Linked DNA regions of Oryctolagus cuniculus. The protein of the gene in region 2 interacts with the protein of the main gene of each other region in a pairwise test. Links are inferred from orthologs where the notes say so. Each region holds a gene or a part of one and is shown on either strand. Other genes may lie near its edges. The genes, in order: BRMS1L, AMOTL2, SMARCE1, NFIL3, MFAP1, THRA and MYO5B.

Region 1 (4,499 bases), on a different chromosome or scaffold from region 2:
CTCCTTGCTTCAGATGGGCGCAGCTCTGGCCCTTGCAGCCATTTGAGGAGTAAACCAGCAGATGGAAGACCTTTCTCTCTGCCTCTCCCTCTCTCTGTCTGTAACTCTGCCTCTCAAGTAAAATAAATCTTTAAAAATAGAGAGAGAGAGGGGCTGGCGCTGTGGCGTAGCGAGTTAAGCCACCACGGGCAGTGCTGGCATTCCATATGGGTGCTAGTTTGAGTCCCAGCTGCTCCACTTCTGATCCAGCTCTCTGCTGTGGCCTGGGAAAGCAGTGAAAGATGGCCCAAGTCTTTGGGCCCCTGCACCCGCGTGGGAGACCCGGAAGAAACTCCCGGCTCCTGGCTTCGAATGGGCCCAACTCCAGCCTTTGTGGCCAACTGGGGAGTGAACCAGCGGATCGAAGACCTCTCTCTCTCTTTCTCTGCTTTCCTTCTCTCTCTGTGTAACTCTGACTTTCAAATAAATAAATAAATCTTTAAAAAAATAAAGTAATAAAAAATAGAGAGGTAATTATTTGACATCTCAGCTCTCGTTAAAAAAGCTAAGAATACTTGAAGCTGATGCTTTACAGATCTAGGAAATATATTTACATACAGTCCTGATCCTTCTTTCTCTCTGTTCCCCACTTTGAAATCTCACCTACATCAATGGCCAGGCACATGATCTTCCAATTATTCCTCCCACCCCAGGCAGATTCCAAGGCCACATTCCCATCTGCCAGCTGGGCATTCTTGGTTGAATACACACTCCTACTTAAAAGCAACACAACGGAAATACCTTCTCTTTGATCTTCATCTCACATTTTTACTTCTCTCTGTCCACTGATGCTATCACCATTCTCTTGGTATCTTGGGTTTTCTCTTCGCTTCACTCCTAAACGTGCACTCATCAATCCTGTTTTGTCCTTTCTTTTGAGTTTCTTAGCTCAGCCTTCTCCCATACCAAATGGTTTCCTCACTCTTGAGTAAGCGTAAGCTCTGGCCTTTGCACTTTTTCTTACATTCCTTGCCCTCCAGGAGCACCTGAACGTTACCACAGCAGTACAAATCCTACTCATTCTTCAGGATAACCCCATCTGCTTCAACCTGCCTTTGCTGGCCATCAATTCTGAAAAGATTTCCTCTTCGTCTCGATTCCTACAGCAGTTTAGCTAAGCACTCACTTAGCAACTTAATCAAGCGGTAACTTAAGACAGCTCTTTGATTGAGAGAGATCAGAACTAGTTAGACCTCAGACTGAGCTGTGCCCGGTGCTACACAAAGAAGTCACTCATAAATATTTATTTTGGGATTGGGTGATTTATTAATCGAAATGACACCCTTCCATGGAGATTTGCTTTGAAAGGGACACGTGAAAGGGGGCGTTAGGGCGATGATGGACTGTCAAGCTGTCATCAGCGCTTCCTTTATGCGGTCCAAATCAGGCCAAGACAAAGAAACCAGTCTCATCCCCGTAACGGGGACAGAAGGAAAAGAGTCCAGGTAGTCACAGATTCCCTCTCTTTTTTGAGTAGCCATTCCCGAAAGTTTGCAGAATTTATTGATGGGGTTAATCTGCCCTCTCCTCCCCTCTCTTCCCACCCTCAAGCCCTGCCATCACCACCTCCCCCACCGTTACCCCCAAAAGTGAAACAGCCCAAAGTCGGGAAAAGGGGGAGGGAAGAAAAGATTGGGAGCATTTCAATGCTGCCCCCCAAACCAGCCAATTCATAAACAGATGAAGATCCAAACCACCCCGATGGTGTTCCCTTCTTCTCAGCCTTGAAAACTTCAGGGGCATTCTGCAAACGGGACAGCTCCCGAGTTAGCCCCCTGCAAGGGCACTTGGTGGGAAGCGCAGACTGACAGGGGGTTAACCCGTTCCAAGCCGGCCAGGAGCACCTGGGGTCCACCCTGGACCCCCACAATCCACCCACGTTGAGAAGTAGGAGTTGCAAAGGTAAGGGTAAGGAGAGAGGTCGGTGGGCTGCCTCCCACCCGGGCGAGACCCCAGGGCACCGCCGGGAGGTGTCTAGGGCGGCTCCCACCGGGGCTGCTCGGGGGCCGAGCTCCGGGGCTGGGCAAGCCCAGGCCCGCCCCGCCCCGCTGGCCGGGACCCTCCCTGGAGCAGGCAGCGCTGGGCGACCGGTCGGTCTGGGTGCAGCCCTGGGCCGGGAGCCAGTCTCCGCCCCTTCCCTCTCTCCCCGCCCCGCTCTCCCAGCAGGACGCGGCTGCCCGGCGTGCGGAGCGCGGCCTGTCGCGCGCCCGGCCGGGGACTCAGGGTCCCAGCCTTGCTGGGTCGCGCACCTGAGCTATCGCCATCCTCCGAGACCGACGAGCTCTCGGTGTCCTCGTCCTCGGAGCTGCTCCCCTCGTTCTCGGCGTAGTCCACCTCCATCTCATCGTGATGGTTCGTCTCCTTCTTATCCCCCCGGGAATGCACCGGCATTTTCCAGCCGCGCCGTCGCTTCCCACTCGCGGCGCCCAGCCCGGCCACCGCCGCTTCAGTGAAGGGCGCGCCGAACGCCCGGACCCACCCAGCGGCCGAGCTTGCTCTGAACCCCCTCGGCTCCTCCCCGCCCCCGGCCCGGGCCTCACAACCTAACCCGCAGGCTCAGCCCTGGGAGCTCTGCCATTGGCGGAGGCCGAGCTCCAAGGCGGGGGCGGGGTTTGCCCTGCTGGGGCACGATTGGTTGCTGGTAATTACAGCGCGGCCTTGCGGTGCGTGTCGGGAGTTGTAGTCCTCAGAGCGGAGACCTGCAGGGGCTGCCGACTTCCAAGCTTCGACAGCCCGGATCCCTTCTTCTTTCTGGACTTCAAATCCCACAAGGCACGAACGCTGGCACCCTTGATCGCAATTTATAAACTAACCCGAAACAGATTGTGCGAATTTGGTCTGTATGTGTGCTTTTCCCGCCAAGTGAGTGTCTGACCACCCTGGCTATCCAAGACGTTGCTGGCAGATATGAAAGAGTTTTTTGCCTGTAGGGCTCTTTGCCTGCTCTTTGAGCTGCAGAACAGAGAACCGCCTCTTCTAGGAGTCTTTATTACGACTAAGAAAGCGTTACATTGAATAGTTAACTATGCAAGGTAACTTGCACTTTCTGTGTTGCACAAACATCTTTAAAATTGTTCTTGAAACTTTTGCAATTGATAATACAGAAAGAAATTTTGGCTTGGCATTCTCAATCTAGTATTTTTCCATTTATTTTTTACCAAATGCCGTTGGAAGATGCCACTGGTATTGATTTAACTTCACTTTTCAACGAAAACTACGTATGTGACCCAATGAGATGTTATATATTCTCAAGGATAGGGTACACAGACAAGGAAGACTCAGTTCCACAATCACAACTCAAATTAATTGACCATTTTTATTCTGCATCAAATGTCTTGGTAAGCCTGTTGCATGGGCTACCTTGAATTTAGATATCAGTTCAAGAGTCCTAAGCAGGTGCCATTATTATCTTCATTTTGCAGGGAGGGAAATTTCATTTGCAGACAAAACTTAAAACTATATTTTACCCATTATAAAGAAGGGACTTCTTGTTGACACGACAATTTGCTATGGAAATATATTTCATGCAGCATTTCTTCTTTTTTAAATTTTATTTTATTTGAGAAGGGGACGGAGAGAGAGAAAGGGAGGCGGGTGTGTGACTGCCATTCTGTGGTTCACTCTACAAATGCCCACAACAGCTGGGGCTAGGCTAAGCTGAAGCGATGTGCCACGAACTCAATCCAGCTGTCCTGTGTAGATAGCAGGGACCCAACTTCTTGAGGAGTTACCTGCTGCCTCCCAGGATGAACATTAGCAGAAAGCCGAGTGGAAGCAGAGCTGGGACCAGAACCCAGGCACTCCAGCATGGAATGTAGGCATGCAATACAGCATCTTAGCCACTAGGTCAAATGCCTGCCCCAGCATCTATTTCTCAAAAGCCAGATCCCAACATTTGATAGAGGATGGTAAGAGTATCCAGATGTAACTGCATTCGATTTGTAATTTAGTGACAGGAAACATTTCAAGAGCAATCTACCTGCTCCAAAGTAAATCCAGATCAAGGGACTTGATGAAGCATGGGCTTTCTTCTCCCCTTTTCATGATAGCTCCCAAACTGAATTCCTTACATTTCCAAACACACCAGCTGTTTCTCATTTTGCACATTCTAATCCCTCTGCAACCCTCTTCCTCCTCCTCTTTTTTTCTTAAAGTCACTTTTTAAAAAAGATTTATTTATTAGTTGAAAGGCAGAGTTAGAGAGGCAGAGACAAAGAGAGAGTCTTCCATCTGCTGGTTCACTCCCCAAAAGGCCACAAAGGCCGGAGCTGGGCTGATCTGAAACCAGGATCCAGGAGCTTCTTCCAGGTCTCCCACATGGCTGCAGGGGCCCAAGAACTTGGGCCATCTTCCACTGCTTTCCCAGTCCACAGCAGAGAGCTGGATTGGAAGTGGAACAGCTGGGAGTCGAACTGGCTCCCATATGGGATTCTGGCACTACAGGTGGCAGCTTTACCCAC
Region 2 (3,774 bases):
GCCCTTGCTCTGCTACCTGCATGCAGGCGTCCGCTCACCTGCTGTGCGCGCAACACCTTGAGTTCCTGCTCCAGGCGCGTGCGCAGCCGCAGCTCCAGCTGCTCGCGCTTCTCGCAGGCCGCCTGCAGCTGCCCGAGCGCCTGCTGCAGCCGCTCCACCTTCTCCACGTATGCCTGCTTCTTGCGCAGCTCCTCCTCGGCGCGGGCCGCCCGCGCCTGCGCGTTGCTCAGGGCCTGCTCCAGCAGCTCCGCGCGCCGCCGCTGGTCCTCAACGGCGCTGCGCAGCAGCGCTGTCTCCCGCTCCACCTTCTCCTGCTCCTGCTGCTGCTCGTAGCCTGCAGGGAGACGTGGCCGGGTCAGTGATGGCGACCTCCCCGACTGGATGAGCACAATTGCTTCTCATCCTCACAGCAACCCTAGGAGGTAGGAGGAACCCTCTGAAGCTTTGATTGGACTTGGTTCTCCTTAGTTTGAGCTTTCGGGCCACGTGTGGCCAAGGGCCTGCCTAGGACGATGAGTTCTGGGATGGGAGGCTGATGGCTTGGATCCCTGGCGTGTGGAAGAGAGGATGCATTGACTCAGGGGACTGGGGCAGGAGCCAACCCAGGCCAGCTCTTGGCTTGCTCAGGATCTTTGAAAAAAAAAAAAAAAAAAAAGAGGCTGACCAGAGACATCTGCACTGAGAATTCTGCAGCCCTCCGGGGTGGCTCCTGCAGCAAGGAATGGCTGCTTAGGGCTGCCCTGTACAACCTCTAAGGCTCTGCTGGGGGCTGGGAGGCTCGGGCCTTGGTCATCCCCAGCCAGCGGGACCCTGACAGAGCAGCCAGGGCCTAGCAGTGGGGTGCGGTTCCTGCGAGGGGGAGAAGGGCCCACAGGCCCCCCTGCCCAGCGTCCCAGCCTCCCTTGTGTCGCCCTGTCCCCTCCCAAAGCCTGGGCAGCGGCATAGAGCAGGGCGCCAGGCCGCAGCAGCGGGGGGAGCGGCTGGGAGCGGAACAGCCGGCTCTGGAATGCCAGGCATCCGGGTCACCCACAGCTGCCAGATTAATGGCTCCAGCCAGGAGCCAAGAACAGCCCGGCTCTGGCTGGCTCGCTCCCCAGGGAGCGGAAACGCCTCCCAGGCCGGCTGGATGGCTCCCCCTCCCTCCCCAAGCAGCCGCCCAGAAACCCGCCCCAGGACTTCCTTTCTGCTGCAGGGCCAGGCCCCCCAAAGTCCTCAGCTCCCCCAGCAGCCAGACCTCTCCAGACTCCTAGGCCCCTTCCCTCCCCCTCAACCTCCCAGGGGTCCCCCTGCCAGAGTCCCCCACAGCCATGGCCGCCCCAGCCCACCCTCATCCAGCACTGTCCTGCCCAGTGGCTTCAGCGCTGTTCCCCTGTCCCGTTCCCTGCTTTGGGCTTGAAACCCTCTCTGAGGGCCCTGTCCAGAGCTCCATTCTCGGGCTGCTTATCCACTGGACATGACCCCTGTGGTCTGTGCCACACATAGCAGCTCTCCTGGTGGACAGCAGCCATTGCCAGCCCACTCTGTCCTCAAACCCTGGAACTTCCCACGAGCTGGGCCATCCGCATTGCACCCAATGCCTCCTCACTTGTGGCCAGTTCACCATGCCCATCACCAGGGCTGCTCTCAGGCCACTGGGGACTCCCTCATCAGCACCCGCCCATCAGCGTTCTTGTTCCCTTCAGGCCTTGGGAACCTGCTCCCTCCACAGCCCACCAGTCTCCCCTGAACCTCCCAGCCACTTCCTGGGGCTGCTCCCACTCCTCTGCTAAACACTTGCCTGGTGCTTGGCACAGATCTGCAAGCGAACACATGGAGGAATGACTGAATGAATGAAGGGACTAGTTACTGAGCTCATCTGCCTTGCAGGGGGTGCTGGACTTCCCCTTCTGAGAAGCCTCTAGAAGCTCTTCTTCAGACTGCACCTGTTGGTGAAGCACCTGGACTGTCTCAGGTGCCCCCACCTGGCCGCCTCGTGGTCCACAGGCTCCTCCCTTCCCTGCACACTTACTGTTACCTGAAATTCCCTGGCCAACTCTCAGCTTCCTCCTGCAGGGCTGTCCGCCTCCCTCTGCCCGGTGCCCCTCTGTTGCTGACCAACACAGCTCTCACAAACACTGTCCCCCAGCTCTGTTCACCTTCCCAATAAATATAGAACCTGATCTTTGTCTTCCTCGAAAGCCAGCCCAACCCCCTACACATGCAGTCCCGGGCCTGCAGGTGGGTACCATTTGGTAAACAGCACCCCCAGCACTGCCGCGAGCAGCAGCGGTGCTGCCACTGCCTGCAAGTCGACCCGGCTTCCTCTTTGCGGGACCCTTACTTACTCTGAGCAAGCAGCTTGGCCACCATGTCCTGACTGCCGGCCTGGGCCTCCTGGGTCCTGCTCGCCAGACGGCGGTTTGCAGATTCCAGCCTCTCTGTTTGCAACGAAGGAGAGATGTTTTAGTCACAGGGAGCTGCTTGTCGGTGTTTTCCCTGGGGTCTGCATCGTCTAAGCTAGGGCTGAGCTCATTGGGATGCCCCTGGTTCCACTCAGGGCCCGATGAGCGACCTGGGCCACGCGGTCGGAGCTCCATGAGGGACCCCAAGGTACAGAACAGACAAGCCTCTGTCTACGAGACCTGGGCTCCTCCGAGTCGAGGTGCACTGATATTTTTCCCCCCAGGGAACATGAACCAAGCCCTCCACAGGTGCTCCCCAACTGGCTGTCACCTCTGAGGTCCCGGTTGAAGTCCTGCAGCCTCCTCATTTCGCTGTCCATCTTGTTCCGCATGGTCTTCTCCAGGGCCTCCCGCTTGGAGGAGGCCCTGGTCAGGCTCTCGTGGGCCTCGGACAGCCGCTGGATCTCGCTTTCCAGCTACGAGAGGTAGACAGCAGAGCTGAAGGGAAGTGAGAGCGCCAAGGGCGCGACCCCGGCCAGTCGCTGCTCTCCATCACAGAAGGGGACGGGAGCCAAAGCTCCAGGGGGCTACCGTGGGAAGGTCAGAAGCTGCTGGCCTCCACGGTGCACTGGGACTGCTGGGCACCTCAGCTCGGCTGTCCTAAGGACCAGATGCTGAGTGACCCCAGGGCCAGGACTCCGGGACCCAGAGTGACCAAACACAAACTTTGCTATGCTCACCATTCAGAAAGAAGCATTTTACTCCTGCTGGTTTCTGTCGGGAAGGCCGAGCATGCGGGCCAGCAGTGGGCACAGACTTCTGCCATGTTCAGGTGCTTTGACCTATCTGCCACTAACAGGCCACTCATCGAGGCCTGAGGCCATCTGCATACCACTGGTCACTTTTCACCAAGGAAGGGACCCCAGCACGGGGCTGAGCGCAGAGAGCCAGCCCCGCCCCCCTCCAACCCATAAGCTGTCCCTCCCACTTGGCCGCAGGCAGCTCCCGCACGTGCTCCTGGCCAGCCTGCTGCCTAACAAGTCGCTCAATTTTTTTTTTTTCCACGAGGAGGGGTTTTTCTCTTTGGCCAGGGCTGGCTTGGAACAGACAGGCTGTTGTGTGGGGGACACAAAGGGCTCTCTGTGGGAGGTGTCTGCGGGAGGGGGGGTGCAGGCCCAGGGTGCGCGTGTGCAGGGGCCCTGAATGGGCTCTTTCTCAGCACCACGGGCCAGGCAACTGCTCCCGCCCCAGGGCTGCTCCGCAGCTGTCTGGAGTCAGCCGTGAAGGGCGCAGGAGGGCTGGGGGAGCCGGGAGGGGGCGGCAGCTAACAGGAGAGAAATCCAGCCAGGGCAGGCGTCCATGCTGCTCTGCCTTCCAGGGGCCCCTCGGGCAG
Region 3 (4,224 bases), on a different chromosome or scaffold from region 2:
AGAATATGGTCATGTTAACAGTGTTTTTTAAAACACAGACAACCCCCTCCCCCCTAAAAAACTCCACAAGGAAGCCATTTCAGGGAGGCCTAACAGTTGCTGTGGAATCTGTTTCATGGGTTGGGCAACTATTTTACATGCTGACCAAGCTGGGTCAGAGCTTGCTGGGTGAAGAAGCCGGTTCACCGCTATCAGGCAGATACTTTGAAACATTCTCAATTCCCAAGCCAATCAAATCTAATTACAGCGTGGAGTCAAATTTCATAGCAAAATCTGACCCACAGATAATGAAATCCTCACTTGAACAGCTTGAAAATAAAGATTTACAATGAGTGTAGTTATAGAAGTAGGAGCTTTGTTTGATTTAATATGGAAATTTTATATATAGAGACAAGAAAGGAGAGAAAAATGTAACCAGCTGAAGGTTAGGTTTAAAAAAAAAAAAGCCAGAATGAGCACTCACTCAATATCAACTTAAAGACTCTGAGAAAGAAGTGTTAAACTTGTTAACTATTTCCCATTAAGAAAAAAAAAAAATAAAACAAGTAAATTCAGCATAGGAGGTAGGAATTTCATAGTATGTTTCTTTAAATGTTGGGGCTGGTTCAAGATCAGAGGCAAAGAGTTATTTTATTTAGAAGGAAGTCTGTTTTTTAGCTGAATTTTCATCCTGTTACTGTGATGATTGAGTGACTGTCACTGGAAGACATCTGGGTTTTTGTATCAAGGCCAGACTCGGCTATTACATTAACAAGAAAATTAAAACTTACTGTTGCAGGAGCTGGGGTGGGAGGTGGGGCATAAGATGGTCTTTCTGTTTGAAAGAAAATAAATAACTTCTTGTAAACAACTGAGATATAATACTATGCAACAAAACTACCAATGGTCCTGTTTTGAAGAAAAAAATGAGAGTATTTTGGAATTCCCACTTGCTAGGGCATTAGTCTCTTATTAACATAGATTGATAAATATAAAAATTGAAACTTACTTGACATTTTGGAAGATTAAGTTCTCAGTTCCTTAAGAATGAATCTGAGACACTAAAATAAAAAAAAGGAAAAAAAGGAAAAAAAAAGAGAATCAAAACTCAGCAAGCATGAGAATGTTTCCCTAAAGAGGGCAGTTTGATTGGTACTTTTGAGTAAAACTACATTATCTCTCAGTACTCAAGCCTTGCGCGTATTTTACTAGTCCTTGTAGGTCATCTGGGTCATCAGAATTAAATGACTCGAGTAAGTTCCTGGGATATTTAAGTATCAGAAATATACTCTCAGGTTCTGTCCTAAGCTGCCCCACCTCTCGCACGGTGAACACTTGGTAATTGGGAAGGCAGTGGTCACACACTGTGCTGTGCCACCTGTCCACACCAACAAGGCCTGCTGGATGCTGCCAGCGCCCGGTCAGTTCCACCTGGCTTCTGGTCTAGCAACCTCTGTTCGAACAGGGCAGCTCTGTATTCCCGAAGGCAGCGGAAAAGGTAACAGGTATACTAAATGCGTTTCACATTCTTTTAAAGCGGCAGATAGCTTCGGACTCGCTGGAAATACATTGAATTCACTGTTCCCTCATCTGCACTCCCATGCAGAGCTAGGATACTGCTTACTGTAGCTTTTCAAAACATCTGCCAATATGGCTGGACTGGGTGCTGCTCTCGTCACCGTATCCCAGTCTCTAGTGCGATTCCTGATAGACGTTGTCCTAGGGTTCCCTGCTCACAGTAGGGCCAGAGCTTGTCCTTCACATCAACAGTCCCGAGGGGTTTAAAAAAAAAATCCGTGTTTTGGAAAGAAGACAAACTCCTATCCTGGAGCGCCTTCATCCAGCCTCACGGGAGATAAGCAGGAGCTACCTGCAGCACCAGGGTGCAGGTCGGAGCCCAGGGTGCTTTCCCCCTCTGCCTTTAAAGCCCGGCGGGAACCTCTGACTTTGTTGCAAATTTCCTTGCTGCTCAGCCGGCGAGCTGTCAGCATCCAGGAGGCCTTGCGGTGTGGAGCCCTGACGGGACAGCCAGCAGCTCCCTGCACTGGGCGCTTCACGCTAAGATACACTCACAGACACTGCTCGCCCCCGGCGGAACGCAGGCTCTCAGAGCGGGCCAGGGCCCCTGTGCACCCCCTGACGCCCTCCCTGCGGCCTGGCCCTACACAGACGCTCGGCAAGCATTTGTGGAATAAGGCAGGACAGGCTTAGGAGAGCAACCCTGCTGTCCCATTTTACAGATCAGAAAGGGGAGTCTTGCAGACTTCAAAGTAACTCTTCGAAACCACGCCGCTAGGAAGCGGCAGGAGCTGGGGTCCGCACCCAGGCCAAGTCCGCTCACGCCAAGCCGGCCCCGCGGGTCCTCGGGGCCAGGGCCCCGGGCCGGGGGTCCCTTCCGGGGCTGAGGGCCCTGGGCTCGCCTCGCCCCTCAGGGCTGCCTCGGAGGTCGCTTCCTCCACGCCTGCCGCGGGGGATGCACTTTACCAGTAATTCCCCCAAACCGGGGTATGCGTGGGCGCCCTGACCGGGTTCGGGGTGGCCGGAAGGGGCCATCCTGCCCCTGAGGAGGGCCCCCCGTGAGGACTCCCTCCCCACGCGCGCTCCGCTAGGCCTCAAGGAGGCCTCACCGGCTCTCGGCTCCGGCCCCGCAGCCAAGCCTGACCCCCAGCAACCCCCGGGGACCCGGGGTCCCGCCGAACGGAGGCACCGCGACCTGCCACCCTCCAGACCAGGTCGGACCCACTAGGAAACACTCACCCGCGGGCAGAAAAAGCGCCCGCAGCTCCGGCTTCGCTTCCCTTTGTCCCGCGCACGCCCCGCCCCTCACGTCCGGAGCTTCCGCGCTCGCACTTTCCACACTTTTTCTCAATTTCTTCTCAGGCCCCACCGACTGTCTTCGGAAAAAAAATAAACCCGCTCCCGAGGACGCGGCGACGCTTAGTACAGCCAAGGATTTTTTTCCAGGCCCCGTACGTTCCACAAAGCTCCTTGGATTTGGATGCTTTCCCAGTCGGGCGCCGATTCGTCACGGCGAGGAAGGCGGAGGTGGCCCGATCGCGATAGGCCCGGTTCCCGCGGCGGTGAGGGGTCCGAGCGGCGGCGGCGGCGGGAGGTGCCGAGCCCTGCCCGAGGGCGTGGTGGCGAGGCCCGCGGCCTCGGCTTCCGCGCGTGAGGCCGGGAGACGCAGGAGCCGCTGCAGGGGGAGGCCGCGCGCGCCTCGGGCTCCGGCCGCGGCCGCCCCCGCGGGACCCCCGGCGCCGGGTCTCCCGCTTCCCCTCGCGTCGCTGGGCGGCAGGACGAGTGTTCCCCGTGCTTCTCAGAGCGGACGACGCGGGCGCGGAGGACTCGGCCTGGAGGGAAGCAGCACGGGCTTTGGCTGGCCACAGGTTTCCGAGCGAGGGCCCTGGTGTGGCCTTGCAGCGCCGAGGGTGCCTGCTGCTGGGCTCTGCCCCAGATCCGCCTTCGCCGGCTGCGTAGACTCCTGTGCCGTTTGGGATGCAGCTCAGCCGTGCCCTCGGGAGGCCCTCTTGCAGTGCCCCCCCCCCCCCCCCCAACAATCCTTCCCTTGTACCCCCAGGCCTTTCCATCTGGCCCTTAGGAAGGTGTGTCAGCTTTGCAGTGCCGGTCACCGCTGAGGGTCTGGAGCCCAGCTCGATGCCCGTGACATGGGCACCGCGGCAGCCCTCTGGCCTGCTCCAGCCAGGGCCCTTACCCCCCAAGTCGTTGGGGCTCTTTGCTCACCGTCTGGAGTGAGTGGCCCCTTCCTGGGCTGTGAACACCCTTGGGTACTGTCGTAGGCCCCTGGTGGGAGAATGAACAAATGGACACCCCCCGAATGGTACTCACTTGGGCACGGGGTGGGCCTTATTCTTAGCCGCCCTTAGCGCCCCTCTGGGACGAGCCAGCAGGAACAGGGGCCTATGGGGGCGTCCCTGCAGAGCTGGGGACAGCTGATACCGGGGCTTCCCCTGCGAATAGGAGAGAGTGCAATTCAGGAGCCTAATGGGGGAGCGCCTGAAGGGAGAGGGGCTTGAGGGGCGGCTGTGGAATTGCTTTTCCAATATGAAAGCATTAAAGGATGGGAGGAAGACACGGGGGACGGCCTGGGCGGGGGTCCCAGGACCTGTTCTGGTTTGACCTCTGCCTTTGGGGTTCTGGGCGGGGCCTCTGAATTAAAGCTGCAGTGTTGGCTGCCGGGGACCCAGGGACCATGCACCCTGCCAAGGGGTGGGGGTGGGATGGCAC
Region 4 (4,501 bases), on a different chromosome or scaffold from region 2:
TCCTCCACGGAGAGCCACTTGCCAGCCATGCGCTGTTACCCCTGGCACCAAAGTACTCCACTGCAGTTGTTACAGGAGCGTCTCCATGGGTGTTCCGATTTGGTTTTATTCTGAACTATCCTTTGCCCATAGAAACAGAAGGTTTAAAAAAAAAAAAAAGGAACCACCATGTCCACCTCCCCCCCCCCCCCCATTCAGCTCCAGTGGCCACTGCCAAACCGAGGCTGCCCTTCCAGCCCCACAAATCCCGGAGCACCCCACCCCCCACCCTCTGCGGTCTCTGCGTGTTCCCTAGGGTCCTCTCGGCTCCAGGAATGGGGACGTGCTGGCCCTGAAACGCACCGAGGACCTTGGGGAACAAAGGTGTGCGCGGGTCTCGGAACCTCGCCGTGCCACACGCGTGCATCAGGCCTGCGCGTCTGCCCCCCGGGAAGCGCGTCGCCGAGACGCCCGGGCGGCCCCTCCGCGCCCCCGCGCCCGCGGCCTGGGCTACCCGCGAGCACACCGGCACGCCGCGCCTCCCCGAGACCCGCCTCCCGCCGGGTGGGCGGCGCAGCGGGGCCTCGGCGCCGTGAGGACCCCCCGCGCCAGAACAAAGGAATGTGGGGAGGGGGCGGGGAGGCGCGCCGGCCACCGAGCGGTCCCCGTTCGGCCGCCGCCCAGAGACGCTTCCCGGTCTCGAGCCGCCGTCCCCGCCCGCTCACCCGCACCAGGGGAGCCCCGCGGGGCCGGCGTCGGTAGCCTCGGCTGCCCGAAGACCCCCGCGGGGCGGAGGGAGGGGCGCCGGGACGCGCCACGCGAGGACGCGGTCGGAAGGTGGCGCCACGCGGCCCCTAGAGGCCAGGGCTCTCACCCGGGCTGGAGGCTGGGGGGTGGGCGTGGGGAGGTGGGCGTGGGGGGTGGGCGAGAGGACTAAAGCGAGCCGCCAGCTTCTCCGAGAGCCACCGCAGTTGTGATTGGGACAACGTAACGTGTTCCGGCTGCGAATCGCTATAATAAGGCCCCACTACCCCTTACAAATAACCACGCGCTTTAATTATTTAAATGTTCAGTGGGTGTGCGTGTGTGTAAACCTGCTCATGGACACACTGGCACATGCATAGAGGCACTCGCAATGGCACTAGGTGGGGACTCCAGGGCGCTCTGCGTGCTCAGCGCCCAAGTGAAACTAGGGTATCCGGACAGAAACACAATCCACTAACCTATATCTGTTCCCCATAAATCACATCCGGCCGGGGGGGCGAGCACACGACGGGAAACACACACTTCTGACCTCCTTAGCTGGTGGTATTTACGAACGCCGGGGCCGGGGGCCGGCGGCTCCCCAAGTGTCCTCCAGCTAGAGGGAGGCGCAGCGAAATGCCTTCCTAAAAATACAGCCTTATCAAAGGTCTCCGAGGGCGTGCGCCGTGAAACTACAGCAGGCGGCCTTGAACTTGGATGTGCACGCAGCCCCGGAGAAAACACCAGGAATAGCTCCGCGAGGCCGCAATTGTTCAAACGCGATGGCGCTAAATTTAGAAGAACGCACATTTCATTTAGGGCAAAAAAGACACGCATTCGGCCGCCTGCTGCGCAGACTCGGCGCTTATAGGGCTGTCGACTTTCCTGTTGAAAATATCCTTGAGGGAAAAAAAAAAAAAAAAAAGAACTGTTACAGTGACATTTTTCCAGGCTGAGATTGCCCTAGTTTCTTTGTAGCGAGATTATAAAATCGCGTAATTAGCTCCCTCTTTCTACGCTCGATGCCAGCAAATCCGGCAGTTACATAATGCAACATTTCCAGGAAACTATTATGTGCGCTGTCTTGTCGCGTCGGAAACAGCCGCGGCGACCCCGGGCGAACGGGGGCTACTAAGAGGCAGCGCATTTCTTTGGATCAGGGGGGTGGGTAGGGGGAGGCAGACGTCACAATGCATTCGCCCCAGATTTCAAAACAACGGCTCGGAATCTCTCGGGGGGGGGGGACCCCGAGCCCCGAATCCAAGCCCCAGCTGCCTCCGACGTTCCGCAGGGCCGTGGGGGACACCTCGCGTGGATGTAAACAGCGCCCCGGGGCTCAGCGCCGCGCGACCGCGACCACACCGCGGCACACGCACACGCGCGCAGCTCCCCACCACCCTGCCGGCGCTGCGCCGTGGGCAGATTACGCAACGCACGCGAGGACAAATCCCACAACCTTCCCGAGGGCTTGTAAAACACGCTGACGACACACGGGCTGGGAGACGTCTGGGCACACACAGCGCCTGACACAGGCATTCTCCGGATGCCGTCACCGCTCGCGCTCCCAGCGCGCGTCCCCAACACGCAGAGCCAGACTGCTCCCCGTTCCTCAGCCCTGTCCTCTCCGCCCCCGGCCCCGCGGAGGGGCCAGGCGCCGGAGACCAGGGCGCACCTTCCCGCTCGCAGGGCGGGGGGGGGGGGGGCGCAACCACCCCGGCGCCGCTTCCCCACCAAAACAGCAATTTTCCCGAAATCGGGAGACGTTATGCAACCGCGGCAGAGAGCGCACCCCAGGCAGGACTACGTGCCGGCGGCGCCAGCGCGCTGCAATCAAAGCAGCCACCTTCGGGCGGGAGTCCCATCCCGACCGAGGCAGCAAAAGTTTATGTAACGAGCGGCCCGCGCACGCTCGCCGCCGCCGGCGAGCCCCGCGCACCCTTCGGCCCGCACCCCCACGCCCCGCGCCAGCCCGGCCGCGCGCCCCGGGAGCGGGCGGGGAGCGGGCGCGGGGCCCCCCGGCCGGCGGTGGGCGGAGCGCTTACCGTGTTCCTGCTCCCGGGCCGGCGCACCGGGGCGGCGAGGAGAAAGAAAGGGGAGATCGGGAGCCGGGCTGGCGGCGCCGGGGCTCGCGGCTCCGGGCCGGGCCTCCGGGGCCGCGGCGGGCGGCGGGCGGCGGCGGAGAGGGCGCGGCGCGGGAGGCGGGCGGGCGCGCCGGGTCCGCGGGCGCCGTGGCCGCGCCGAGAGATGTGTGTTAGTAGGTCAGTTCCGAGCGCCGCGCTACGTCGCCGCCCGCCAGCCCCGCCGTGACGGGCGGCCGCAGCCCCAATCGCCGCGCCCGCACCCGCCCCCGGCCCGCCGCCAATGGCCGCGGCCGGCAGGGGCGGGCCGGGGGGGCGGGCTCTCCGCGGCCCCGCCCCCTCTGCACTCCGCCGCGGCGCCGCCACCAGTGCGCGTCCCTCCCCGGCCTCGGACACCGCCGCCGCCCGAGCCGGCGTCCGCCAGGACCCGCGCCCTGCGCCCTGCGCCCCGCTCCGGGTTGCGCAACGGCCGGCGCAGCCAGCGCGGCGCGGAGGAGCCTGGGGAGGAGGAGCCCGGGACCCCCGGGCCTGGCCTTGCCGTGGTGGCTCCGGGCTCCCCGCGACCCTCGTTGCTCGCAGATGCGCTTTTTGTCTCCCCCAGCGGCGGCGGCGGCGGCGCCGGCCGGGCTACCTGTTGCCGACCGAGCACCGGGCGAGGCGTGGCAGCGACCTCGGCCTTGCCTTCCCGCAACACTGCGGAGAGGAGCGACCCTTGCGCGGTGGAGCTGGCGGGAGGCCGGAAAGGCGGCGGGTGGCGGCCGGGAAGCTGCGGGCCCTCGGGGGTGCCGCGGCGGGGAAGGGGTTGGGGCGGCGGCGGGGCAGAGCTGCTCCGGGAGAAGCAGAGACTCAAATACCCCGCGCGTCCTGGAGACGGCCCCGGGCACGCAGGCTACGCTGCACGCGCCAACACCTCCCCTTGCACGATGAGGTCTGCTGTGAAGTTGTTGCGTCACGCAACTGGGGGACGAGGGTCGTGGGGGCCCCCCTCAGTCCCCGGGCCACGCGGAGAGGCGGCCGCGGCTTTCTCCGGGGGGAACTGGCCGCACTGGGACGCCCATTGGCGTTGGGCGCTGGAGCTTGAGCCGACCGCGCAGGGTCGCTTCTGGCGATCAGGGGCCGGTAGCCCTTTGGTGTCATTTCTGCCCCTAGTCGGATGCGGTCGCCTTCTCCCTCAAATTCTGGGGTTTCCCTGGGGAGACGTAAATAAATGCGGGGGAGCGCTCCCAGCCGCGAGTTGTGAAATCATTGCGTGTGAGGTTGGGGAGGTGCGCAGCAAGCACAGCCCCGTGCGCGTGTCGGGGTCTCGGGTGGAGGGGCGTGCCGGCCTGGGCCGAGGGAGCCATGTTCCTGGCTATGGCGCGCACGCTCGTCCAAACAGGGCATGTGGCGGGTGGGGCGGCCCGCCCCTGTCGCTCGGGCTGCGTGCAGGCTGGGCTGAGCGTCCCGCGGCTCCGTTTTCTTCCCCTGCGTTTGGAGACACAGAGGGGCGTGCAGACCGGCGGCCGAAAGCCCGGGCCGTCCGGCGCGCTAACACCGCACACCTCGTGGGCACCTGGCGTGACGTTTCCAATGCCTGTGGCCCCCGTCGCTTGGACGTTTGCCCTGTCGTCGCCGCACCGCGCTGCGGTTCCGAGCTCGGCGTCCCCAGCCGCAACCCGGGAGCTGGGGCTGTGCCATACATGATTTGACGTCTTCCCGAC
Region 5 (2,604 bases), on a different chromosome or scaffold from region 2:
TGGTTAAAATATGAAACATCCTCTGTTGAATTCCCTGCTTTTACTTATTAGGTAGTTAATATAAGCCTGTGTATTCTGTGTTTGCATCATGATAAAAATCGGTGTGTGACTTTTTATTTGACACACATCAATGGATCAAGAATTACATTCACTTAGAAAAAACTGACTCCAATTAAAAATGGAAAACATTTCAATGAGCTTAGATTTCCTGCTATGTTACTCCCAACACTAAGGTAGAAGAAAGGCATTGTCCACTCCACTCACATGCTCATGTTTCTGACCCAAGCTAAGGGTCTGGAAAAAGAATCTCAGAACAACAGTCCCAAGTAAATATGGGAAACCACAGCAGTGATGAAACCCGAGATTTCTCAGAAATAGTTTCAAATGGGAAGGCTCCAGTACCCACATAGTGCTTTTCTGTGGGATTCTCAGCATGAGTCCAGACCTCAAAAAGCACCTTCAAAGACAGGACTACCTGTTATCACAAGTATGGTAGAAGGTCCAATAGCCTGGATATGCGGGCCATATAAATAATGGGAAAAGCAAACTGAAGACCAGATGCTAAGACTTGTTGTGTCCCATAGGTGGAAGAATTATGTAGTTGAACCCTAAGTAGTTTTCCGTTTCTTGGCAGACGGTCGCTCAAATACATCCCGTACCCCAGCTGCCTTCTGTTTGAAGAACTTGGTGTTCTGGGCACTTTCTTGACCCCATGCTGAATCAAAGGAGGTGGTATCTTGATCCACAAGGTGGGTGTATTTGGTACGGCCAGAGCGTCCAAAGTTCTTGACCTGAGAAGGATGAATGATGAGTTACACGTAACACCAAACATACTACACCTCTGTCCTCAATATATGATCTTTCTCTTATGTTACTAAGGTTCCCCATACCTGCATGACTTTAGGAAGAATGGTTTTGTTGAAATGATCCTCCAGGGTAGGTGCACTGAAATCTCTCTTGTATACTTCTTCATCCTCGTCCTGCAGAAATGAATATAATCAGTTATTTTAGTTCTATTCCCTTTTATTCAAGCCAGAGTTAATATAACAAAGGTTACAGAGATTATTGAGTCATTCTTCAAGGGCTTACACGAGTTACTATAATCTGTGTGCTCATTTACGCACATGCCTTCAACTATGAACAAGCCTCTCAACTCTGAATTTTCTACTGCCTTTTATATTATTTTAACAGATATTCCATTGGGTCTTAACTCATATCTAACTGCATAGGTGGATTTAGCTGGATAGGAAGCACAGAATAGCTGGCTGGGACTGGAATCTGATAAGGGATGTAAGAGCCCCAGGCATGGGTTAACTTACCATGCCACAATGCCCACCGTTGATTTAACTTCTTTGTAAGTAGGCCCAACATTCTCTTAGTTAACATAGTTTCAAAACTGGAGTAATCTTGTGTATATTCAATCAGTTGCCACATCTCATAAACTCTTATCACGTAGTTTTTTTCCCTACCATTAATGTTTCTAGAATACAATTCTTTTTTTTTTTTTTTTTTTTTTTTGACAGGCAGAGTGGACAGTGAGAGAGAGAGACAGAAAGAAAGGTCTTCCTTTACCGGTGGTTCACCCTCTAATGGCCGCTGTGGCCGGCGAACCGCGCTGATCCAATGGCAGGAGCCAGGTACTTCTCCTGGTCTCCCATAGGGTGCAGGGCCCAAGCACCTGGGCCATCCTCCACTGCACTCCCTGGCCACAGCAGAGAGCTGGTGTGGAAGAGGGGCAACCGGGACAGAATCCAGTGCCCCGACCGGGACTAGAACCCGGTGTGCCAGCGCCACAAGGCGGAGGATTAGCCTAATGAGTCACGGTGCCGGCCTAGAATACAATTCTAATTATGTATCTGCCTTGCTCAAAAACATCAATGGTTCTGTAGTAGGTAAGGCCAAATATAAGCCTTAATCTGTTTAGTTCTTTTTGCCACTTCCTTTTATAGCTGATACTTTTCTGCCTCCCCTCCTGCTGGAATGTCTTAACACTGAAAAGTCAAGTCAATCATCTGAAGTGTTACCTTTATACATGTCATTGTTTTCAATCAACCAAATACAACATCTCCCTCTTTAGAAACTGCCAGAGTACCTTCAGTAGACTTAGACCTACTTTTAGATTGTGAGCCTTTTGAGGGGAGGATTTTATATTCTTTGGTAGTGCATAAAAGGATACTTAATGAAACATAGCGAATAGTTTTGAACCAATGTGTCAGATTACAATGCTGTGGCAGAGATTACACACATACATGCTAGAGGTAATAAAAACAGCATCATCTTGGTTTAGGAAGGACCAGTTTTAAAGACAGGACTATTAACAGTTTTTGTGAGATCTTTTCTACTGTGGACTTGAAAGTCCTTCATTTAATCCTAGAAGCCATTTCAATTTTACTCTCCTGGTCCAGAGTTAATATTTGAGTACGTGTACCAAAAGACTGACTTCATATAAACTTTACCTATGTATTTTAGTCAGTAATACACTGGTTCTCTAAGAAGCATGGTTATAAAAGCTATTGAAATGATGAAATAAAGAAAGACACTTTATGACTTTCAAAGAGTAGAAGTAATTCTAATCTCTACTAACTATGGAAAACCATTTGTGCT
Region 6 (3,774 bases), on a different chromosome or scaffold from region 2:
GAGGGAGGAAAGGAGCGGGCAGGCATGGCTCGGGGTCCCGGCAGCTCGGCGAGGCTCCGAGACTTTCTCCTGCCCCAGCCTTCCCTTTCTGGCCTGTGGCACAGCCCTGCCTCCCTGCAGGGCTCGCTGTCTCCAGGTGGAATCCTGGGGACAGGTCACTGGACATCGTGTCCACCCCCTGAGAAGACACAGCAGCTCAGTGCTGACTGCTCGCTCACAGCTAATGGGTGGGGGAAGATGGACGTGGAAAATGGATGGCGGCAGCTCGGGAAAGCAGCTTGGGAAAGAAGGGAAGAGGCACTTCCTGACTTAATCCATCCTCAAAGCCCGGGTCATGCCCTCATCACCCCTCTCACTCCAGACAAACCCACCTCCAGCCCTCCATAGGCACCTGTCATGGGTCAGAGGGAGACCTGGCGGGGGTTGGGGCAGGAAGAGGGGGCACACACAGCCAGGCTCACCTGACATGCTGGTTTTCAGGGAACATTGGCCGTTCTTTCTTTTTCGCTTTCCATCTGGTGACCTGGCACTAGATGGGGGCAAAGTGGACAGAATCACGGAGCGGTCTTTGGGCAGCCCCCTCCTCACCCGTGAGGTTCCTAGAGTCCCCCAGGCCCGACTCCCTCCACCTTGTGTCCTCATTCCACCTCCCACCCCCAGGTCAGCTGACAAGGCTTAGAAGCCTTTAGCTATCTGAAAGCTGCAGGGGAGAGAGATAAGGGCCTTGGCTGGGCACAAGCATGTTCCAGGGCCCCAAGGTACACATCCACACGGATACAACACACACACACACATACCCACACACATACAACACACACATACCCACACACACAACACACACATACCCCCCCACAACACACACATACCCCCCCACACACAACACACACATACCCCCACACATACAACACACACATACCCACACACATACAACACACACACATACCCACACAGGCACACACACATGAATATACAGCACACACATGAACACAGTACGGGCACACACATCCACATCTACAACCACACTGTAGATATGAAGCACCCACAATCCACAGAACAGGACCACCACAGATCCAAGCCTTCCGTGGATGACAACTGTGCCAAAATAATCCACAGGATAAGCTTAACCTTCAGAACACACACATACACATGCACATGCACATGTATGCAATATGACACCAGCGTTCATATTAATAGCTTTGCAGCCTTCAGAATAAACCCAAGTACGATACACCACCATCTATGCCACTTCCAGGGCATTCTCAGATGTGTTATATGACCTCTAGGATATGCCCACATGTTACACAACTCTCTGGACAGGCACCTGCTAACACCGCTCTCTCTCTCTGCAGTGTGGACATCCAGGTCAGGATTGCATGCTTAGTAACCCACAGTGGCAAATGACAACGACAGTCACCCTGTGTACGGCCTCCATTTAACACAGGCCTGAACCAAAGCCCCACTTGTGCCTGGTGACACAGCACACAGGAGACACAGGCAGGGCAAGGACCCTGAGCCTCTTCATGCCAGGGATTCTCAGCCACCTTCAGTCCCTGCACATACATGTCACCAGGCTCTCCATACATGTTACATAACCTCATCACACACGGCTTACATAAGCCCTCTCCGTGCATGCGAGGGTTGTATAACCTCCCTCTCCCATCCTGCATGTGGCAAGTGCAGGGCCCCTCCTCCTGGAGCCAGACGCAGTTCCCAACACACTGACATAGTGACCTTGGCCAGGGTCACAGTCACAGACAGCCCCGTGCTCCACACCCCCTGGGGATTACCCTGTCTGGTTCCGACAAGGCTGGAGGGTCAGGTCTCCCTCCCGCCTCCTCTGAGGGGTGGGTGCAGGGCACCTGAGGCCTCCTAGGCCCCAGTGCAGCCCGCGCCTTCAGCAGTTTACAAGACTCCCAGCCTCTGGGTGCAGTCCCAGGAACAACCACAAGGTGGCGCAGGGACATGGGGGAGGGGAGGATACTGGGGGAGGGGCTGCAGTCCTAAGGGACTGAGAAAAGGCACTCTCGCCTTTGTCCAAGGTTTAGGGGCAGACTCTCCAGATCCACATTAGCCTGGACGGGGAGCTACAGCGGATGCAAGTGACAGCCACGTAGCAACAGGCCGGATCCTCAGAGTCCCGGTTGGGGTGAGGCTTTGGGGGTGGTTACCCTGGTGCCTACCCCATTTCGAGCCCCATCCACTTCCTCCAGCCCTCCAGGGACCCAGTGTTGGGCCCCAGGGCTTTGCCTGGCCAGGCCTCCAGCCTCCTGGCTCGGGATCTGATCTCCTAGGCAACAGCCAGCCACACTGCTCCCCAGAGCACCCCACCCCCACTCTCTCCCTGGCCATAGGCACAGCCTGTACCCAGCTCCCGGGGTTCCATGCCAACTGGGACAGAGCTCTGTGCCACTTGGATCCAATGGCAGAGGCAGAGACCCTCTGGGTTTCTCAAGGGCAGCGCAGATCACAGGTAACCTGTCCCTAGTGTGCATACAGCGCCATGCCTCACCCATGTGTAAGCAAAACCTTCACAGCTGGCATGCATTTCCACTTCCTGGGAGGAGCTCCACGGCAGTGTCCGCCTTTGACCATGAACAAGGAAGAGCTTGTGGGGCTCCCAACAGATTCCAAATCTCAGCATAGGCTGTGACCAATAGTTACCGGTGCATGGGCCTGAAATGTCATGTTACGAGCACCACAGCCTGTGGACAAGGCACTTGTAAGTGACCAGGTGGGGCCCGGGCTGCCAGAGAGGAGAGGAGGGACACAGCAAGGCCGTTTGGATCCCACGTGCTCAGGTGAGGGTGGCAATGACAGAGGGGCCTCTGGGGGCACCTCAGGCTGCCCAGCACCACCCAGGGAAGTGCCGTGTGCCCTCCTCTGCCTGTAATTACTCAGGTCTCTACCACCGGCCCCTGCAAGATGGGTATCTCTCAATTCGAGTGCCTGGTTCCCTGCCACCTCTGAGCGTTCCCTGGGCTCTAGGACGAAGGTGGATAGCAGGCCTGCTGTCTTTGTGCCCCATCCCCCAGAGCCACTCAACACAGAGCTCTTTCGCCCAAGATCGACGCGTAAGAGCTGGTGCAAACTCGTCGCCAGATTCGTTACCTGTTCTCCTCTGGGTCTGACCCACACTCCACCTTGCTTGGCTTCTGTTCCATTCACTTCAATTCCATCCAGGATGCCCTCCAGCACGCCAAGAGACTGGGGTGGGCACGCTGGCCCCCCCAACACGCCCACAGGCCGCCCACCCCCCGCCACCCAGGCCCTAGGGCACAGCACCCATGGTACCCGCTCAGCACTTGGCCTTTCACACCATGCCCTGCACCCCAAGGGGGGCGGGCGGTGGGAGGGGCCAGGGAGTGGCAGGTGGGAGGGTTGAGGGCAAGCTGGGTCCTTGGGGGGGTGGTCCTGGGGGTAGGTGCTGGGAGAGTAACTTCAGAGTCTCGTCCTGTCCGCGGATCCCTGCAGAGAGAGGAGAGAGGCCAGGTAAGGAGGTGCCATGGTAGAAGGGTGGGGAGAATCCCTTTGGTGGCCACATCTGGGGCTCCGGGGGACTATAATAAAGCGACAGTGGACATGGAGGGTAGGTGTGGGACAAGGAACAGGGTTACTCCTCTAGTACAGGCACAGCAGGCAAGACTGGATACCCACATCCTCAGCCCCACACAGGGGAAGGATGAAGGGAAAGACAAAGCCATCCAGGTACCAGGCAGCACGACTCAGCTCTCACAGCCAAACTGATGCCCAGCCGCTAACATGTGCCCGTTAAAC
Region 7 (3,774 bases), on a different chromosome or scaffold from region 2:
TGTGGGTTCAAGTCTCGTCCCTGAGAACCCGAGCTCACGTGAGGACAGCCTAAGAGAAGGAGCTCTTGGTCCTGCTCTGGCCTTAACGTATTTCCCCTCCGCCCCATTCAGAACCTCTCTCAGCAGGTGGAGCGGTGAGCCTCAGTGCCACGTGGCACGTGCAGTTCTGAACTTGCAAAGCTTGTGTACGATGTGACGTCACAGAGGCCTCTGGTTTGAAACCAAGGACAGTTCTGTGCCCTGCAGCCCACCCCCCCCTTCCATTGTAAAAGCAAGTGAGCCCACAGAATTTCCACCTCCCGGCAGAGACGGAGCGCGGCCATGTCCCAGAGGTAGGACCGGCCGGGGTGGCACAGCCCTGTGTCATCCCAGGGCGGAGAACCTGTCAGAATCTGTCCTGGCACAAGAGGTGGAAAAAAGCTTTCAAAACCATTGCACGACTTTGGCTGACGCTGCCTTGCGAAGGGTGGGCGGCAAGGTTTGGGCAAGGAAGGGAAGAACGGAAAGGCCGAGGGACGCCCAGGGATGTGGGAGTGGGCCGGTGTGGAGGCAGCTGGGACGCTTCAAAGTGTGGCACGGGTAACCAGGTCACGGGCTGAACACAGCACGGAGGAGCTCTCCTGGGGCCTGGAGGTCAAATGGCATGGAGCGTGAAAAGAGGCGCGCAGGCCCAGCCATCAGGTGTGGTTGGGAGCATAAAGCCGGACTTCTGGGTCAGTCTGTACAACTGTCCTGGCCACTGGGTGCTCTTCCCCTGTGGCCATCTTTGTCCATCTTGAAATAGGCATTTACGGAAACGGCTGTCCTAAGGTGGCTTCAGCAGGACAAGGTCACCCGGGCCCTCTGAGGATGGACGGGCTCAGCAAGCTCACTCCCCTCTCTTACCACTGACTTGGTTCAGGCGTCCTCAGCAGGGGCCCTCGAGCAGGTCTCCTACGTCCTGCCTCATTCCCTCTTCCAGTCTCCAGGCATGGTTAGTGCTGCCCACCGCCTGAGGCCCCAGCAGGTGCCCCTTCCTGAGGACGCACAGTGCCTTGGAACTCATCGGGACGGAGCCAGGATGCCTCCCGGGAACTCAGCCGCTCACTCACCTCGTCCCCGCTGTACTGCTTCAAACAGTGGAGCAGGCGGCAGGTGTTGGATAACCAGAAGGTCGTCATCTCAAAGTCGTCATTGTGCTTCTGGGGGAAGAAGAGGACACCCCCAGCTCTGAGTGGTCCTGTCTGCTGAAATGCCTACTCGGGCCTCTTCCCACATCCTGCACCCCATCCAGCACTCCACGGAAGCCCTGATGCAGGCAGGGCCCCTGCTGGTCCCCAAGAGGAGACCCACTGCCAAGAGATTGCAGGGGTGGCACCCGGAACCCCTTTCCTGGTCGCCAGCCGGGGGTGCACACACAGGAACACACATGCAACAGACCGACCGCTTCCCATGGCTGAAGCATGCAGAGTGAAGTGACGGCGATGAGACTGGACCCTGCTCTAACCACTGGGGCTCCCTGCCCTGGTCAGAACTGCCTGTTTTCCAACTCAGGGGACGGGAGGGCATGTGCCAGTGAAATAATTTGGGGTCCCATTTACCCAGAGGCCAGCTGTCCAGTGGCTTCCACTCTAGAAAATGGCTACAAACCATAACTAAGGTGGGGGGAGCCATCAACAACCCCGAGAGCGGTTTCTTGACTGAAACCCCCGACTTCAGGGTGCTCGGTCGGGCAGAGACGCATTGGCACCGATTCAAGGGCAGAGCACGGATGAGCTGTGATGATGCGACAGGAGTTGAGTACAAAGGGCCCAGTGGGGCTGGGGCCTGCTAACTGGGCTCAGGATCAGGGAAGGCCGCCCTGGGGAGGTGACATCAGCAGTCAGTCCAAGCCAGGCCCAGACTGACCGAGACCCCGCCTGCTGTTCCTGAAAGAGGTCAAGGCCGAGACACAGGTCTGAGAGTCTCCAGAATGTGGAGCCACGAGCGGATACAACTGCCTGTGGAACCCAGCTCCCTGCTGATGTCTGTGGGAAAGCAGACCTGGGTGAAGCTCCTGGCTTCGGCCTGGCCATTGAGGCCATTTGGGGGAGTGAACCAGTGGATGGAAAATCTCTAACACTGCCTTTCAAATATTTTTTTTAAAAGAAACAGAGAAAACAGCAGTGACAGTGGAGCCCTGGGCTGCTAGGAGACACAACATCCTCTCCCTCTCCCCTACTTGGCCCTGGCCCCTTGCGGACAGGACTCACCTCCCTGCAAGCTACTCTGCTCCCACCGGGGCCGCCACTCCGGCCGTGAAGAGCCTCGTGCGTTTCCGAGCTGCCTCGACAGCCTGTGGGCAGCCCCGTCCTGGCCCAGCTGCCTCACTGCGGCCCCTGAGGAACGCCAGCAGCACTGCCCAGGGGACAGGTGAAGGGGGCTGGGCTCCAGCTGGGGCTTCACCAGGACCAGGCCCCCCCAGCCCTTGGCTGTAGCAGGACGTCTCCCCAGCTTGTGCAGCAGCGGGCAGGCCCAAGCATGGCAGGCACTGGGCAGCCCTGGAGGGCTGCTCCGGATTTCTGGCTTCCTGCCTCATTGAGTCCGAGCCTCCTGGCTTCCCAGGTGCCTCACTCGCCACCCCGAAACCCAGACACAGAGAAGCAGCAGTGGGGGGATGGCCGCGCTGAGCCCAGCTTTCTGCAGGGGCACTGACCTTGAGGACTTTCTTGATGCCGTTGATGGTGGAGGTCAGCAGGGAGTGCACCTTGAGGTCGTCGTTGGTGTAGTCCGCGTGCCGGATGCACATGTAGAGGATGTAGGCGGGGAGGCAGGGCACGGTGCCCAGCAGTGTCTGTGGCTTCAGGTCTGCCAGCAAGGACAGCAGCAAACGGCCAGGGTTAGACAGGGGAGGGGGCGACACCCGGGGCTCGGAGCCCTCCTCCCAGAACTACTCCTGGCAGCTCGTCTAGGAACAAGAGGGTTGGGAGGGAAGCTGGGGAGAAGCCGCCAGCTACACAAACGCCCTCCGGCCCCAACGGCCAGCGCTTTCGGACGCTGCAGCAGAAAACCAAGATGAAACCACGTGGCTCAGGGCTCGCCCTGCACCACTGAAACAGGCCCCGACGCCTCCTTCTTACTGTGAAGGAAGAGCCCAGAGCTACGCGCAGACACAGGGGCCCTAGCCCCCAGGAGGCCAGAGGCAGGCTGCAGACAGGACAGGGCTCCCCAACCTGGCGAGAACCCTCGACTCCTGGGGACCACCGCTCCCTGCAGCAGAATGTAGGGGCTGGCCCCAGGAGAACTGGGCAAATCCTGTGTTCCCAAAGAGAAAGCCAGTCGGCCACGCACAGGGAAGGCTGGGGCCACCTTTGGCTGTCACTTTAGGGACAGATTACCTGGCGACGCTGGCCCTGAATCCTCCCAGGCAGACGGGTGGAGCAGGTCACAGCCACCCCCGCCCTCCCCCAGCTGCTGTCCCCTGCAACCCACGCCCCTACTCCTGGGCCAGGGCTGCTCTGGCAAGACCCGCAGACACAAGCTCGGTCCGCTGTCCCCTCTCTGCTAAAGCCTCGGGAGGGCCAGGGAGAAGCTGTCACACTGCTTTCACTTCCAGAGCATGCTGGGAAACTCGCGAGCCAGGCCTAGGGCAACCATGGGGACAGGAGCCCAGAGGCTGGGGGAGGCCTGGCGCAAAGACAAGATGATGAGTGAAGACGGTACCCCTGGGTCTCACTGCAGCCCACACTGTATCTCCAGTGCCTGGCCCTCTCTCATTACACTCACCCACGTCCACCTAAACTGGGTGTCAGGAGC

What was found.
Region 1: the proteins of AMOTL2 (region 2) and BRMS1L interact in binary tests that used the Homo sapiens proteins (3 or more experiments, as listed by UniProt). The two-hybrid records come from large-scale screens. The link is inferred for Oryctolagus cuniculus from reciprocal best matches to the Homo sapiens genes AMOTL2 and BRMS1L.
Region 3: the proteins of AMOTL2 (region 2) and SMARCE1 interact in binary tests that used the Homo sapiens proteins (3 or more experiments, as listed by UniProt). The two-hybrid records come from large-scale screens. The link is inferred for Oryctolagus cuniculus from reciprocal best matches to the Homo sapiens genes AMOTL2 and SMARCE1.
Region 4: the proteins of AMOTL2 (region 2) and NFIL3 interact in binary tests that used the Homo sapiens proteins (3 or more experiments, as listed by UniProt). The two-hybrid records come from large-scale screens. The link is inferred for Oryctolagus cuniculus from reciprocal best matches to the Homo sapiens genes AMOTL2 and NFIL3.
Region 5: the proteins of AMOTL2 (region 2) and MFAP1 interact in binary tests that used the Homo sapiens proteins (3 or more experiments, as listed by UniProt). The two-hybrid records come from large-scale screens. The link is inferred for Oryctolagus cuniculus from reciprocal best matches to the Homo sapiens genes AMOTL2 and MFAP1.
Region 6: the proteins of AMOTL2 (region 2) and THRA interact in binary tests that used the Homo sapiens proteins (3 or more experiments, as listed by UniProt). The two-hybrid records come from large-scale screens. The link is inferred for Oryctolagus cuniculus from reciprocal best matches to the Homo sapiens genes AMOTL2 and THRA.
Region 7: the proteins of AMOTL2 (region 2) and MYO5B interact in binary tests that used the Homo sapiens proteins (3 or more experiments, as listed by UniProt). The two-hybrid records come from large-scale screens. The link is inferred for Oryctolagus cuniculus from reciprocal best matches to the Homo sapiens genes AMOTL2 and MYO5B.

The regions. Positions count from the first base shown.
Region 1 is NC_091443.1:39,765,345-39,769,843, forward strand, and holds the start of BRMS1L (breast cancer metastasis-suppressor 1-like protein), read right to left. Parts: upstream 2,857-4,499; 5' UTR 2,431-2,856; coding exon 2,289-2,430; intron 1-2,288. UniProt on the Homo sapiens protein: Involved in the histone deacetylase (HDAC1)-dependent transcriptional repression activity. When overexpressed in lung cancer cell line that lacks p53/TP53 expression, inhibits cell growth.
Region 2 is NC_091435.1:147,068,493-147,072,266, reverse strand, and holds part of AMOTL2 (angiomotin-like protein 2), read right to left. Parts: intron 2,858-3,774; coding exon 2,713-2,857; intron 2,418-2,712; coding exon 2,325-2,417; intron 2,160-2,324; exon of another isoform or gene 1,683-2,159; intron 423-1,682; exon of another isoform or gene 335-422; coding exon 39-334; intron 1-38. UniProt on the Homo sapiens protein: Regulates the translocation of phosphorylated SRC to peripheral cell-matrix adhesion sites. Required for proper architecture of actin filaments.
Region 3 is NC_091448.1:21,885,943-21,890,166, reverse strand, and holds the start of SMARCE1 (SWI/SNF-related matrix-associated actin-dependent regulator of chromatin subfamily E member 1), read right to left. Parts: upstream 2,876-4,224; 5' UTR 2,737-2,875; intron 1,041-2,736; 5' UTR 996-1,040; coding exon 989-995; intron 815-988; coding exon 771-814; intron 1-770. UniProt on the Homo sapiens protein: Involved in transcriptional activation and repression of select genes by chromatin remodeling (alteration of DNA-nucleosome topology).
Region 4 is NC_091432.1:139,817,534-139,822,034, forward strand, and holds the start of NFIL3 (nuclear factor interleukin-3-regulated protein), read right to left. Parts: upstream 2,905-4,501; 5' UTR 2,766-2,904; intron 1,623-2,765; exon of another isoform or gene 1,203-1,622; intron 1-1,202.
Region 5 is NC_091443.1:66,690,057-66,692,660, forward strand, and holds the end of MFAP1 (microfibrillar-associated protein 1), read right to left. Parts: intron 981-2,604; coding exon 891-980; intron 792-890; coding exon 609-791; downstream 1-608. UniProt on the Homo sapiens protein: Involved in pre-mRNA splicing as a component of the spliceosome.
Region 6 is NC_091448.1:22,355,973-22,359,746, forward strand, and holds part of THRA (thyroid hormone receptor alpha), read right to left. Parts: intron 3,466-3,774; 5' UTR 3,162-3,465; coding exon 3,109-3,161; intron 530-3,108; coding exon 462-529; intron 1-461.
Region 7 is NC_091441.1:28,195,617-28,199,390, reverse strand, and holds part of MYO5B (unconventional myosin-Vb), read right to left. Parts: intron 2,827-3,774; coding exon 2,675-2,826; intron 1,182-2,674; coding exon 1,092-1,181; intron 1-1,091. UniProt on the Homo sapiens protein: May be involved in vesicular trafficking via its association with the CART complex. The CART complex is necessary for efficient transferrin receptor recycling but not for EGFR degradation.